Macaca fascicularis: one gene and its partner. The protein of the gene in region 2 binds, or shares a complex with, the protein of the main gene of each other region. Links are inferred from orthologs where the notes say so. Each region holds a gene or a part of one and is shown on either strand. Other genes may lie near its edges. The genes, in order: transcription initiation factor TFIID subunit 13 and TAF11.

Region 1 (8,341 bases), on a different chromosome or scaffold from region 2:
ATTGACTGTGGTAGGTGGCCTCTCAGAAAGCCCCCAGTGATCTCCAGCGCAATATTCTTGCCCTTATGTAATCCCCTCTCCACGAATTTGGGCTGCACTTTTTTTCTTTTCTGAGACGGAGTCTCACTCTGTCGCCCTGGCTAGAGTACAGTGGCGCCATCTCAGCTCACTGCAACCTCCGCCTCCCGGGTTCAAGCAACTGTCCTGCCTCAGCCTCCTGAGTAGCTGGGATTACAGGTGTCCACCACCACGCCCGGCCAATTTTTGTATTTTTAGTGGAGACGGGGTTTCACCATGTTGGCCAGGCTGGTCTCGGAACTCCTGACCTCGTGATCCGCCCACCTCCGCCTCCCAAAGTGCTGGGATTACAGGCGTGAGCCACTGCACCCCACCTTAGCTGCACTTTTAGTGAATAGAATAGGGCAGAAATGATGGGATGTCACTTCCAAAATCAGTTAACAAAAAACCTGTGAGTTCTGTCTTCTGGGTTCTCTCACTTGTATCCTCTGGAGGAAGGCAACTGGCACACTGTGAGCTGCCCTATGGAGTGGATTACATGGAAGGAACTGAAGGAGGCCTCTGGGCAACATCCGGTGAAGAACTGAGGCCCTTATTCCAACAACCTTGAGGAACTGAAACCTCCAGCAACCTGTGAGTGACTCTGGCAAATTCTCCTCCATCAACACTTGAGGTATGACTGTGGCCCCAGGTAACATCCTGACTGCAACAGGAGGGACCTTGAGCAACAGGCACCCAGCTAAATCGCACCCACATTGCTGACCCACAGAAACTGTGTGATAAATATTTGTTGTAAGTCACTAAGTTTTGGGGTGATTTGTTATACAACAATAAATAACTAATATATCTACCTACTCACATAATTTTGAAAATAACATAATACCGTAACAGGATCCAGTGATCCAGTGTCCAGGAGGTCAGGCATAAAGGTAATATAAAGTAAAGTAAAAATAGTAACATATGTTTCTTTTTCTTTTTTTTTTTTTTTTGAGATGGAGTCTCATACTGTCGCCCAGGCTGGAGTGCAGTGGCAGGACCTCTGCTCACTACAAGCTTCGCCTCCTGGGTTCACACCATTCTCCTGCCTCAGCTTCTCCAGTAGCTGGGACTACAGGCGCCCACCACCACGCCCAGCTAATTTTTGTTGTATTTTTTAGTAGAGACAGGGTTTCACTCTGTTGGCCAGGTTGGTCTCAAACTGTATCAGGTGATCCGCCCGCCTCGGCCTCCCAAAGTGCCGGGATTACATGTGTGAGCCAGCGCGCCCAGCCAACATATGTTTCAATATATAAACACTCGAGCACTAGGGGGTATAATGAAGATTTCAGATGCTTGTACCTATATGTAGAATTACTTTGAATGCAGACTGATTTGAGTGAGTATTGTCGACCTAAAAGGAAGAAGCTGAGGCAAAATTAATATAAATAGAGAGTTTATTTGGGCCAGACTTGAGGATTGCAACTCAGCAGCATAAAGTGGCCCGGAATACACTCTAAGATTAGCAGCAGGTACAAGTGGATTTTTAACGGAAAAGAATGAGGACGGGGAGTGGGCTGACACAAAGTTGTCCTTAAGGAATTCTCATTGGTTTACAAAAATAACATTATCAAGCTATAGGGTGTGGGATATAGTGTCTGGTGGGGCATAATTAGGCTAATTTATAACTAATACTTGTGGAATGGCAAGCAGTTTTAAGACATAAATACATAGCTCAAAAGGGGGCAAGTAGGATGTGATTGCCTCTCATTTTAATGCCTCTCAGGGCCTAATAATTTAACTCACTTTCCTCAAATCAAAGTTCTTTTTTCAGTATTCACTATTCAAATTATTACAAGTGATGTTGCTTTTGGTGACGTTATTTCTTGAAATGGTACACAACTCTTAATGAATTCCAAACAAAACAATACAATTACTATTCAATTTTGGGGCAATAACATTCCTAGAAAATTCAACGTACATTAAAAGTGTGGGAAAATGCTTTGTGTGTGTGTGTGTGTTTTTTTTTTTTTTTTTTTTTTTTTTTTTTTTTTTGAGACGGAGTCTCGCTCTGTAGCCCAGTCTGGAGTGCAGTGGCCGGATCTCAGCTCACTGCAAGCTCCGCCTCCCGGGTTCACGCCATTCTCCTGCCTCAGCCTCCCGAGTAGCTGGGACTACAGGCGCCCGCCACCTCGCCCGGCTAGTTTTTTGTATTTCTTAGTAGAGACGGGGTTTCACCGTGTTATCCAGGATGGTCTCGATCTCCTGACCTCGTGATCCACCCGTCTCGGCCTCCCAAAGTGCTGGGATTACAGGCTTGAGCCACCGCGCCCAGCCGCTTTGTGTTTATTAACAAAGATAGGTTCAAGCCTCACATAACTACTTTTCACTCACCGAATGTTCAGCAGGACATTCAGAAATCGTGTGTATTGCGGGATTTTCTTTATGTAGCATCATCTGTTACACTGTAGGACACATATTTTATATCCCTAGCTCTGGCCTTCCAATGCCTGTGGTTTTCCCAACCATTGTTCCGACCAAAAGCCTTCCCCAATGGACACGGTGGCTCACACTTGTAATCCCAGCACTTTGGGAGGCCGAGGGGGGCAGATCGCTTGAGATCAAGAGTTCCAGACCAGCCTGGGTGATGTGGCGAAACCCCATATCTACTAAAAATACAAAAATTAGCCGAGCATAGGTGGTGTGTGCCTGTAATCCCAGCTACTTGGAGGCTGAGGTGGGAGGATGGCTTGAGCCCAGCAGGTCTAAGCTGCAGTGAACCCGGATTGTGCCACTTCACTCCAGCCTGGGGGACAGTGAGGCTGCGTCTCAAAAAAAAAAAAAAAAAACCAAAAATGAGGCCGGGCATGGTGGTGCACGCCTGTAATCCCAGCTACTCGGGAGGCTGAGGCAGAAGAATCGCTTGAACCCGATAGGCGGACGTTGCAGTGGGCCGGGATTTCGCCACCGCACACTCCAGCCTGGGCGACAGAGTGAGACTTGGTCTCAAAAAAAAAAAAAAAAAAAAAAAACACACACACACAAAAACAAACCTTCACAAAATTTTAAATGCTTAGTTTTGGGACACCATCTCTTGGAAATTTGTGGTGAAGCACAGTATCCCCAGTAATTAACATAGTGCTTAGAAACAGTGGAACCACAACTCTTTAAAATGATTTAAAAGCATTTATGTCAGATAAAGGACCGCTGGCTAGCCCTCCTACGATCCATAGCTTCGCAGTCCCCAAACAGGAAGGCGTGATTCAATGCGCAGTAGCAAATTTAGGGTGACAACGAGATACATCCCACGGAGCCCGTGATTTCCTTTTCTTTGTTAGTTTTCAATTCCTTCAGTGTTACAGGGAGGAGCTCCGGCCTCCTCCGCTAAAGACTGTCGCATTTCCGCCGCTAGGCCGGAAAGCACCACCGTCCTTCCGCAGGCCTCAGTCAGCTAGGCCCAGCTCCAGCCCCGCCCGTCACCGGAAGTGAGGCGACGGAAGTAGCGTAACCCGCTGAGAACCAGCCGGCGGGGCGCTGTGGGTTGGCGGGCTAGTGGGATGGCAGATGAGGAAGAAGACCCCACCGTGAGTGACCGTCTGTGTCCAGAACCTCTCTTTTCTTCACTCCTTCGGGCTCAGTAGCGGAGGCAGAGTTCAGGATCGGATCTGCTTGCCTTAGTCAATTCAGCCGACAGAATTCGGGGACTTCACTCCCTAAGGATTGATCATTTTAGAAAGTGGGGAAGGACATGAAGAAAGAGTAGGTTTTGTGACCCCTTTCCCCTTGATTTTGATCTTTATTTGCCAGACACTGAAACACTTACAGAATCATCAGACGTCAAAACTAACATCTATTAGCGCTCACTATGAACCAACAGTTCAATTGTTAACAAAACTGTACTTACTGTGAAGTAATGGGAAAAGAATGCATTGAAAGTCAGACAGCCTGGATTTCAAAATCTCCATTCTCTCTAAGCAAGTTATTTAACTTTGACAATCAGTTTTCTTGTTACAAAATAGGGTTACGGGCTTACTTAAGGAACGTTTTTAGCACCGTATATGCAAATGCTTAGTAAATATTAGTTTTGCTTAATTGAAAGTCTACAAAGGTAGACTTTGATTCAGTATCAACTGTTTAACAGTAGCAATAGGCCACCTTAGTTGTTTAAAAATAAAACCTATGGTCATTGTAACTCTTACACGTAGAAGCAGTAGGATTATTTGTTAGGAACATTGTAGAAGCCATTTTTGGATGAGTTGGAAATTGGACTCGATACCTAGGCTGCTTACGTGCTAAGGTTTTGTGTTTTTTTTTTTTTTTTTTTTTTTTTTTTCTGCTTCCTTTAGGCTTTCTGGCCTATCTGTTGAAAAGGAAAAAACATTGTTATTATTAAAATATCAAATGCAAGGCAATTATTTGACATTTCTATATATACGTTTTCTAGTTTGAGGAAGAAAATGAAGAAATTGGAGGAGGTGCAGAAGGTGGACAGGGTAAAAGAAAGAGGCTTTTTTCTAAAGAATGTAAGTAGTATTTGACAATGATTTTGTTATAGATGATGAAAACTTTTGGACATATCCTTTCCAAGTACATTTATTGCTTTGAATGTTTCCCTGTAGTGACAATATTCTCAGACTAGCCTATCAAATTCTGTTTAGCTTTTGAATCAGATAGTACCAATCCTAACCCCAGTTATATGTGTGTGTATGTGTGTCTGTGTATAAATTGCTTTTTAGGTGAGCAAATGTAGTTCGTGTTTTAATTTAGGGCAGAAGAACATACCTCCATTAGTTTTCCTCTTGCCTTTGCAGCAGTAGAAAGAGAGGCTTCTTTGACTGTAAGCCACAGATACTAATGGATCCTGCACCAGGTGTTGAGGGAGAGTAGCAAGTGAGTTGGGGCTTGGGCTTTGGACTAAGGCTATGAACAAAGTAAGAAGGTGGTGAACAGCTGGGTGTAGTGGCTCACGCCTGTAATCCGAGCACTTTGGGAGGCTGAGGCAGGTGGATCACTGGAGGTCAGGAGTTTGAGACCAGCCTGGCCAATGTGATGAAACCCCATCTCTACTAAAAATACAAAAATTAGCCAGACGTGCTCGCTTGAACTCAGGAGGGAGAAGTTGCAGTGAGCCAAGATTATGCCACTGCACTCCAGCCTGGGTAACACAGCAAGACTCTGTCTCAAAAAAAAAGAAGAAGGTGGTGAATAGTGTAAGACATTAGAGTGACATGGAGGCTAGATGCAGTGGCTCACGTCTGTAATCCCAGCACTTTGGGAGGTCAAGGCAAGCAGATCGCTTGAGCCCAGGAGGTCAAGACCAGTCTGGGCGACATAGTGAAACCCTCTCTCTACAAAAAATACAAAAATTAGTAGGGCATGGTGGCACGCCCCTGTAGTTCCAGCTACTCTGGAGGCTGAGGTGAGAGGATGGCTTGGGCCCAGGAGGTGGAGGTTGCAGTAAACCCAGATTGCGCCACTGCACTCCAGCCTTGGTGACGGAACCAGACCCTGTGTCCAAAATAAATAAATAAATAAGCAAAATAAATAATGACATGGAGATTATAATGTATTGATTCTGCATCCTACCCCCTCAGTAGATGCTTTTGACCCTTTTTGGCAACAAGAGGAAGGGAGAGCTGCTGCTACTACTGATGGTACAGGCCAAGCCCTGGAACACAGCATGAGAATGTGCTCTCCATCTCCAGTCCTGGGTCCTTTATGTAAAGTTATATCTAAGTATTGAGAGATGAGGCAACACAGATTTATGAATATGGTTTATTTAGGCGGGGTTATATGTGAGCAGTTCCCAAATGCCCTTGAAACTACAGGGTCAGTATATCTTTTTTTTTTTTTTGCAATTAACTGGGCATGGTGGCGTGTACCTATAGCCCCAGCTATTCAGGAGGCTGAGGTGGGAGGATCACTTGTGCCCAGGAGTTCAAGGTTGCAGTGAGCTGTGATCATGCCACTGTACTCTAGCCCCAGTGATAGAAGAGTGAGACCCTGTCTCGCCACCAGCCCCAGCTAATTTTTTGTATTTTTAGTAGAAACGGGTTTCCCCATGTCAGCCAGGGTGGTCTCAAACTCATGACCCAGATGATCTGCCTAACTCGGCCTCCCAAAGTGCTGGGATTACAGGCCTGAGCCACCATGACCAGCCATACCCAGCTAATTTTTGTATTTTCAGTAGAGACTAGTTACACCATGTTGGCCAGGCTGGTCTCAAACTCCTACCCTCAAGTGATCCTCCTGCCTCAGCCTCCCAAACTGCTGGGGTTACAGGCATGAGCCACCACATCCAGCCAGACACTCTTATTTTTTAACCATCCAAATCCTTTTCCATATTTCGTTTCCTCACTAAAGCTGAACATTTCTTATTTCATTTCTCTGATGCTCCTTATACCATTATGTGGTTTTACTTATTATATCAGCATAAGAATGGGATCCTTGTACCAGAGCATCCCAGAGTGATGTTCAGTTGGTTGTTAGCAAAGACCTTTTTTCCAGTGAGATTAGTTTGTGATGACAGGAATTTGGAATCTTCAGGCTTCTCCTTATCTTAACTGAATATTCATAGAGGTTACTGACGAAAGATCTGTTTCGTGAACCTTAAAAAAAAAAAAATTTGCAGGAGACTAGGTACAGTGGCTCATGCCAGTAATCCCAGCACTTTGGGAGGCCAAGGTGGGAGGATCACTTGAGGTCGGGAGTTCAAGACCAGTCTGGCCAACATGGCAAAACCCCGTCTCTAATAAAAATACAAATTTAGCTGGGTGTGGTGATGCGTGCCTGTAACTCCACTACTCGAGGGCCGGACACGGTAGCTCATGCCTGTAATCCCAGCACTTTGGGAGGCTGAGGTGGGTGGATCATGAGGTCAGGAGATCGAGACCATCCTGGCTAACACAGCAAAACCCCGTCCCTGCTAAAAATACAAAAAATTAGCTGGATGTGGTGGCACATGCCTGTAGCCCCACCTACTTGGGAGGCTGAGGCAGGAGAATTGCTTGCATCCAGGAGACAGAGGTTGCAGTGAGCCAAGATGGCGCGCTGCGCTCCAGCCTGGGTGACAGAGCAAGACTGCCTCTCAAAAAAAAAAAAATTCCAGCTACTTGTGAGGCTGAGGCTGGAGAGTCACTGGAACCTGGGAGGCAGAGGTTGCAATAGGCCTATAGAATTTCAAAGCATTATCTGGCATTTGTTTATGCCTTTATAGACCCTTTAGCCAAATACAGTTTACATACTTCCCATATAATAAGTTTCCCTTTTCCAGTGAAATATATTTTCTGTCTGGTGAATTCTGCCCATCAAAATGTTAGTGACAAAGTATCTTCCTCGAAATATTTAAACAAAAACAGTAAACTTACAATGGAGAATTCTGGAAGACACCATGTTAATCAAGTGATCAAAGCATCACTAATAATATACAGTATATTGACATTATATACCCCTGATATGATGCATTAAGAGGACACATCACCTTGGTGTTCTTCCTGGTAATGTCAAACTTCAATCTAACGAGGAAACATCAAAGAAACCCAAATTGAGGGATAGTCTACAAGATAACTGACCAATATTCTTCAAAAGTGTCAAGGTTTTTTGTAAACAATGGTTTCATTTAAAAAAAAGGTATCAAGGTTTTGAAAGATGAAAAAGTCGAACTGTCAGAGAATAGAGGGAACTAAGGAGACATGACAACTAAATGGTATGGGAACCTGAAACAAAAAGGACATTGGTGGAAAAACTCGTAAAATCTGAATAAAGTCTGTACTTGTACCGATGTTAATTTCTTAGCTTTGATGACTCCCTATGGTTGTATAACATGTTAACATAAGGGGAAGCTGAATATAGGGCATATGGGAACTGTGTACTATTTTTGCAACTCAGCTGTAAATCTAAAATTATCTTTTTTTAAAAAAAAAAGGCAAAAAAGTACGGAATCCAAAACAGAAAGATAAAAACTATTGGCTCCTGTGTTTGTTTTTTTCCTCCTGTTTCTGGACCTAAAGACTCTTGCCAGTGTAAACCCTAGGGACATGTCTATCTCAGGCTGGTTTCCAAGTCACCCTTTTCTTCTGTAGGCCTGGCCTACTTTCTTCTCTTTGTACTTCTACTAGTTTTTACTTCTTCTAAATAGAGGAATTATTCTTAATTTACTCATTTCTTCCTTTAGAAGTATTCTACAAGTACCTTTTTTTTTTTTTTTTTTTGAGACGGAGTCTCGCTCTGTCGCCCAGGCTGGAGTGCAGTGGCGCGATCTGGGCTCACTACAAGCTCCACCTCCCAGGTTCACGCCATTCTCCTGCCTCAGCCTCCCGAGTAGCTGGGACTACAGGCGCCTGCCACC
Region 2 (7,822 bases):
CCATGGGCCTCAACCTTTATGTCTGCTTTTTATGGTTCTGAAAGGAATGGCTCCCGTGTATGGAATATCCAAGGGATAACCACCACCCCTCACATACCCCTGTAACTTAAATGCTTCCATGTGACTCAGATTACTTTCCCCTCAGTGGTAAACAGGGGTTGGGGGATGGGTGGTAGTGGAAAGAAGGTAGTTTGAAATATTGCCATAGTAATATGGGAACTTTTCATTCCAAACCTTTACCCTCGCTTTTTTTTTTCTCTCTTATTTAATATTTGCCTAAACTTCTGAAATCAGTTATAGTAAGATCATAAAACTATGAAAACAACTGAACTTTTGGTACACAAGTTAGTTCGATGACATCTTGTGATCTGAGAACAGTAAAAGGTGTGTCATTGCCTCATGATTTGTCATAGTCATTACTAAGGGTTTCGGAGAGAATCTGGTGTGAAGCACTATCCTTTCAGAGACTAAGGCTTTTACCTAGTTGCTCCCCTACCTTCTGTCAGAATAGGAGTATTCCCGTGCCCCTCTGGGTAGGTATAGGTAGTGGCTATTGAATGGGGATTATCTTCCCCATGGCACAAGGGGAAACACTCCTGGATAACCTTTAACAGTGAGGCTTTGCTAAGTGGCCAGACTTGGGATTTGATCTTCCTCACTTGTATTTATTAAGTTTCAGCCTTATTCAGTATCTCTAACTGCCATAGATACAGTTCCTACGACTTCTAAAAAAATTCCTGTTAGAGCTGAGAGAGTATCTTTTTTGTTTATTAATTTTTGTTCAAGATGTAGCCTGAGTCTTAAAGCATTTCTTTGTGGAATGCCCCACTGAAGTGTCTTCTCCATTGGCTAAGTACATGTTTAAAGCCATGGGTTTTAATGTAAGACACTTTTAGTATCTAATTCTGCTTCCCCCACTGAGGGTGCTAAACAGAATTAGAATCTTTACTAAGACATGCTCAGGAAAGCTTCACAAGAGAACAGCTTCAAAATCCTTCTCCCTATGACACTGAATGGTAGAGAGGAAAGAATTCTTGGGGATTGCCAATTACATATCGTAGCCTTATTACTGCTAATCACTGTCAGAAAAGGTCACTTCATTCACCTCTATTTGAGGAAAACAATGAGAATGTATCTGATGAACTAGAATCCTGGTCAGTATTGGGAAATATTAATGTTGCAATATCTAGTCAAACCTTGAGTGTACTGGTTCTGTGAACCACCTGAAAAAACAAATTAAATGTATTAAACCATAATGGTTGTCGTGTATCTGTTGATAAGAATCTGAAATATATGGGCTTTTATATTGTTTATTTTCGTTTCACTCTTGGGGGAGAAGATTATTACACTGTTTTTAACAGTGCTTGAAGTACTCTTTTATGAGATAAAATTTTAATGGTTCTACTAGAAAAAGGGCTCAAATTTCCACAAAATAGCCAAAACCAGTTGTATTGGAACACCAAAAAAGAATGATCAACTTCCCATTCCAACCAGCTAGACAGAAAATGAATACACCTAGGGCAAGTTGGAAAACAGTTTAATGATCACTCACCAGAATCCACAGGAGAATCTTAAATATTTACAAGCACCAATTATTCCATTATTCCTGCCATCGCCGCATCCTTCATGGCAGAGTATCACAAGTAAGTTTCTGGTTGTTTCATCTACTTAAAATCAGATGTAAGAAACAACCTGAGTCTTAGCAACTTCAGACTTCAATGTGAAACCATTAAAGCCCTCGACACTTTAGGAGGCTGAGGCAGGAGGATTGCTTGAAGCCAGGAGTTCACGACCAGCCTGGGCAACAAAGCAAGACCCCATCTCCATAAAAAAATAAAAATAAGTTAGCTGGGCACAGTAGTGCGTGCCTGCAGTCTTAGCTACTCAGGAGACTGAGACGGGAGGGTCACTTAAGTCCAGGAATTCAAGGCTGTAGTCATGCCGCTGAACTCCAGCCTAGGTGACAGAGCAAGACCCTATCTCAAACAAAACAAAACTCTCTTGGAAAGGTTTTCTCTCTGAAAGCAGTTCTCCTGTCCAGAAGATGCCTACGGCCCATACATCTTCTTCCAACTGGCCAAGACAGTTAAATACTTCAAAATGCCCCCAAGAGGTCCCAAAATTTAGTCAAGGCAAGTATCAATCAGGCTACATACTTTCTAGGTGTGACAAATATCAGAGTTTTGAGAAAGATGTTAAAATCATCATGAAATCCTTGGAGGCCTGAGATACTAAAGCACCAGTGCAGACAGTCTTCTAGGAAGTCTGGAACCAATACTTCTTCCATCAGTAATACAGGCCTTTCTAGACTTTGGTCTAGAAGAAGATGATTTTTTTGTGCTTCGAGTTAGGGATCTGTCCCTTTGACTTTAACCTTCTAACGGCTTCCCTCATATGTTTGGGTTGTAGTGGTGGCATTTCTCCCCACTTCTCACATACATCCAGTGCTAAACAGAGGGTAAGGAGAAAGTCTGATTATCATACAATAATTTACTAATCACATAATCCTTTTGAGTCCTGTAATTCTCGTTAACTTTTCTTAAGCTTGCTAAGGAAATAAACCAAAACATTTTTCCTTTTTAAGAGAAGATTTTTTTTTAGTATAACATCTCATAACAGGCTTTATCATAGACAACAGTTTAAAATATATTTCCTATAGGCCATATGCTGTGGCTCATGTCTGTAATCCCAGCAGTTAGGGAGGCCAAGGTAGGAGGATTGCTTGAGCCCAGGAGTTTGAGACCAACCTGGGCAACATGGCAAAACCTTGTCTCTACAAAAAAATTTAAAAATTAGCCAGGGGTGGTGGTGCACACCTGTGGTCTCAACTACTCAGGCTGAGGCAGGAGAATCACCCGAGCCCAGGAGCTCACTGTTGCAGTAAGCTGTGATCGCATGATCAAGGCACTCTAGCCTGGGTGACAGAGTGAGACCCTGTCTCAAATAACTATATAAAAATAAAAATTAGCCAGGTGTGGTAGTGCATGCCTATGGTCCCAGCTACTTGGGAGGCTGAGGCAGGAGGATCCTTTGAGCCTAGGAGTTTGAGGTGGTAGTGAGCTATGGTCACACCACTGTTACCATCTCATTTTGTACACCATCTAAATTTGTGATTTGTAAAAGGAAACATAAAAAATATTAAAAGAAAAAATAAAGATCACGCCACTGCACTCCAGCCTGGGCGACAGAGCGAGACCCTGTCTCAAAAAATAATAATAATTTAAAAGTATCTATCTCCTGCTTAAAAAAATAAATTAAAAAAAAAAAAAGATTTCACCAGTCAGAGTAGCAATGGGAAACAGCCAGGCTTTTTACTCAATAAAGGGGGCAGGCAGTTCCCAGGGAGCACAACATTAGGGACAACTCACCATCCCACACAGGTCAGCCCTGTGATTGCTTTTCTTGTATCTTTACTTTTGGCAGCAGAAATGAGCAAAGTCCACTGCAGAAAATACAAAGTCTACTTCTGTCACCCTGGGCTGAGGAAAGGAATCAGGGAGGGGAGTCCCAGATGGTTCCTTGCCATCTGTTATTGAAACTTGCAAGGAATAATGGTCATTTCTCCTGAATACAGGGTTCCCCACTTGCTCAACTTCAAATGCAAATGAGAACTCCCACAGGTGCTTTAATAAGCTCCTTTGTATAGATATTCTTAAAAATAAGACCACCGCAGTATTTGTAACCAACACTACTCACCTTCTTCTACCACCTCCCCGACGAAAACCTTGGAAATACCAGACATAGCAATAACAACATTCTGAGACACAGAGGTGCCAGTGATGGACTGGATCAGCTTGAAAGAAGGAGAAAGACTCCGTGACTACAATAGTCAAAGACTGGCTTTGGAACACAGTACCAAATAATTCACAGAAAAAGGTAAGATAACTGAGGTGCATTTTTTTTTCCCCACTTAAATAATCCACTGACTTGTCTAACACCTCACTTCAAATGCCAATGGACATGGCCCTTGGGTTCAGTTCTAAAACATGATGGAGATGAAGTGTGGTGGTCTATCCTTACCCTTTTGATGGCTGCCTTAGGGAAAGCTGAGCGGCGATACATTTCGTAACGGTTCAGCTGCTCCTCAGAAAAAGAAGAAACCAGGATTCTAAACAAAGATCCAGGTAACTAAGTTAACTTGTAAGAATGAATACTAAAGATATTATTAAGTCAATAAAAGTCTCAGACAATTCAAAAATGAATTCTTAAGGGGTCAATAGCATTAGGCTTGGTGCCTTGAGGAATGAAGATAAAATACTTCTACTCCAAAGGAATTTGAGAAAACATAAAATAAAAACTTCTTTTCTTACCTGTGAACAAAAAGAACAACATTGGGTCACTGTATCCTACTATACAGACTGTGTTTTCAGCGTTAGACTCTACCTTACTGAATTTCACACTGATGGTGTTTAATATACAAATTTATGATCAAACCAGTAGTTTTCAACATTAACAGATTTAGGAGAAATATCTGCAAAATATGTGGAAACAGGTAATACTCCTAATGTATAATTCTTTCAAACAAATAAAGGGGCCATATCAATTTTTGAAAATGAACAAAGTATATGAACAGGAAATTTACAAAAATACCAATGGTCAACCAACATGGGGGAACAACATTATTAACTAAGGAAATATTATTTTCATAGATAACATTTTTCATAAATCAGACCACTATTAAAAAAAGAATGGTATTAGAATATGGGACACAAACTCACACATGCTGGCAGAGTGAACTGCAACACCTTTTTGGAGAGAAATTTGGAAATACATATGAAAAGCCTTTGAAAATGTTCATACTATTTGAATTAGCAATTATACCTCTAGGAGTTTATCTTAGGAAGTAATGGACAAGTATGCAAAGATATGTCCAAAGATCCTCATCATAATGTCAAAAGTACAAATACCCAACCAGAACCACTACAGGGACTGGTTAAATTATAGTTCAACAACATAATGGGATTCGATTGTAGCCATTAAAAATTATGATTTATGAGCAAATTTACTGACATGAAAATATTTAGCTATACATATCAAACATCTAAAAAAACTTTGAAAAGGTACATACCCAAACACTATACCCAACTATATACTTAGAGTGAACTCTGCCTGGTGAGTTTATGGGTAATTTTTTCTATTTTTCTGTATTCTCTGAATTATTTGCAATGAGCCCATACTACTTTTTACAATCAGAAAATGTCATAAAGCTATTTCTATTTTTAAGAAAACTATGACCTAGGCAGGGTGCGGTGGCTCAAGCCTGTAATCCCAGCACTTTGGGAGGCCGAGGTGGGTGGATCACGAGGTCAGGAGATCGAGACCATCCTGGCTAACACAGTGAAACCCCATCTCTACTAAAAATACAAAAAAAAAAAAAAAAATTAGCCAGGCGTGATGGCGGGCGCCTGTAGTCCCAGCTACTCGGGAGGCTGAGGCAGGAGAATGGCGTGAACCCGGGAGGCGGAGCTTGCAGTGAGCCGAGATCATGCCACTGCACTCCAGCCTGGGCGACACAGCGAGACTCTGCCTCAAAAAAAAAAAAAAAAAAAAAAAAGAAAACTATGACCTAGATGTATAATTAGTGACATGGAAAACATTCATCATATCTAATGTGAAAAATAGGCTATGAAACAGTATTTGACATTTGTGAAAAAAACAATTCATAGATATATATGTATAGAAACTATCTTGAAACTTTTAACATAAGCAGGATATATCTCTGTGGTAAGGTGATTCTTTTTTCTTCTTATCTATTTATTTTTATTTATTTATTTTTGAGACAGTGTCTGGCTCTATTGCCCAGGCTGGAATGCAGTAGTGCAATCTTGGCTCATTGCAACCTCTGCCTCCTGGGTTCAAGTGATTCTCCTACCTCAGCCTCCCGAGTAGCTGGGACTACAGGCACCCACCACAACGCCTGGCTAATTTTTTGTAATTTTAGTAGAGATGGAGTTTCACCATCTTGGCCAGGCTGGTCTCAAACTCCTGACCTCAGGTGATCCGCCCACGCCTCAGCCTCCCAAAGTGCTGGGATTACAGGTGTGAGCCACCGCTCCCGGACATCTTTTTATCTATTTATATTTTCTATGCTGTAACATAATTGTTTGAAAAAAAATTTTTTGGCCTGTAATCCCAGCACTTTGGGAGGCCAAGGCGGGCGGATCACGAGGTCTCGAGTTCGAGACCAGCCTGGCCAACATGGTGAAACCCTGTCTCCACTAAAAATACAAAAATTAGCCAGGCATGGTGGCGGGCACCTGTAGTCCCAGCTACCTGGGAGGCTGAGGCAGGAGAATCACTTGAAACCGGAAGGTGGAGGTTGCAGTGAGCAGAGATCCTGCCACTACACTCCAGCCTGAGCAATGAGAGTGAAACTCCATCTCAAAAAAAAAAAAAAAAATTTTAAATAGAGGCCAGGCGCAGTGGCTCATGCCTGTCATCCCAGCACTTTGGGAGGCTGAGGCGGGCAGATCACTTGAGGTCATGAGTTCAAGACCAGCCTGGCCAATATAGTGAAACCCTGTCTCTACTAAAAATACAAAAATTAGCCAGGCATGGTGGTACATGCCTGTAGTCCCAGCTACTCGGGAGGCTGAGGCATGAGAATTGTTTGAACTCAGGAGGCAGAGGCTGCAGTGAGCTGAGATCATACCATTGCACTCCATCCTGGGCAACACATTAAGACTCTGTCCCAAAAAAAAAAAAACAAAAAAAAAAAACAACCGTAACGTACTGTAACATAACATTAGAGATAGGGTTTCACTATGTTGCCCAGGCTGGTCTCAAACTTGGACCTCAAGAAATCCTCCCACCTTGGCCTTCTGAAGTGTTGGGATTATAAGCGTGAGCCACCATGCCCAGCCATAATGTATTAATCGTTTTATTTTCTTTTGAGTTTATAAAAGAAAATTTAAATACCAAGAAAAATTTATTAAATTTGTGTGGTCAAGTGAGAGCTTTGAAATGGGGAATGATAAGAAAGTGACTTACTGCATCTTCTGAATCTCATCTTCATCTACTTTCTGCTTCTTCTCTTTCTTTTCTTTGGTATCTATTTTCAGTTTTTTGGCCGCAGGAGTAAGTAATGATGAGTCTTCCCTTTCAACTGTTGTTAAATCTGAGACATCCTGACTCTTGGGCTGGGAAGATGAAAGAAACTCTATTACATATTTGTCCTACTTTCGAGGCTTGGGCAAAGTAAGAAGGCATTATCCTTATTACAAAACAACAAATCCATTTATTGAGTAGTTTTTCAGTTTTAGGCACTGACTGTACCATCAAGGATAAGATACAGTATCTCTCCTAAGGGAAGATTATGGCTCAGCCGTGGAAAGAAAACCTGCTAAATAATCTAGTTTTCCAGTTTGGCTATGAGCACAGCTCCAGTATCTGTTTACGAGGGTGATGAAATGCCAAGGATCATGAAAACTGCCCTCCCTCTGGGCCCGCTCTTCTGACCTTATTCTTTAGAGGGGATGTCAGCAAAGTCCCCTCCATCCAGCCAGCTCTTCTGCTTCCAGATCTACAGATCTCTTTACTGCTGATGATTCCATATGGAAAGAATATTAAAAAGGAGGCCCCTTCTCATTAAAACAGTGTTTATTTCAATTTGGGACTTTCAAGTGAGCTTCTCACATATAGTGCTCTTTTGTTCTTATCCTTCAATCCTACTGTTTCATGCAAATGTTTATTTCACATTGCTAGTCTTTTTGAAGATAGATTTGTCTCTTATTATTTATATCTCTCCCCCATCAGCATTTAACACAATTTTACTTATGCTGGCTGTTTAATAAATGCCTGTTGAAACCCCATTAAAAGGTAG

Evidence for each region.
Region 1: TAF11 (region 2) and transcription initiation factor TFIID subunit 13 share a complex: the UniProt entries of both Homo sapiens proteins name them as parts of the TFIID basal transcription factor complex. The link is inferred for Macaca fascicularis from reciprocal best matches to the Homo sapiens genes TAF11 and TAF13.

The regions. Positions count from the first base shown.
Region 1 is NC_088375.1:125,370,290-125,378,630, forward strand, and holds the start of transcription initiation factor TFIID subunit 13, read left to right. Parts: upstream 1-3,489; 5' UTR 3,490-3,551; coding exon 3,552-3,578; exon of another isoform or gene 3,579-3,752; coding exon of another isoform or gene 3,753-3,753; intron 3,754-4,340; exon of another isoform or gene 4,341-4,438; coding exon 4,439-4,517; intron 4,518-8,341. UniProt on the Homo sapiens protein: The TFIID basal transcription factor complex plays a major role in the initiation of RNA polymerase II (Pol II)-dependent transcription.
Region 2 is NC_088378.1:136,810,980-136,818,801, reverse strand, and holds the end of TAF11 (transcription initiation factor TFIID subunit 11), read right to left. Parts: intron 7,140-7,822; coding exon 6,991-7,139; intron 4,109-6,990; coding exon 4,021-4,108; intron 3,794-4,020; coding exon 3,697-3,793; intron 2,448-3,696; coding exon 2,317-2,447; 3' UTR 1,521-2,316; downstream 1-1,520. UniProt on the Homo sapiens protein: The TFIID basal transcription factor complex plays a major role in the initiation of RNA polymerase II (Pol II)-dependent transcription.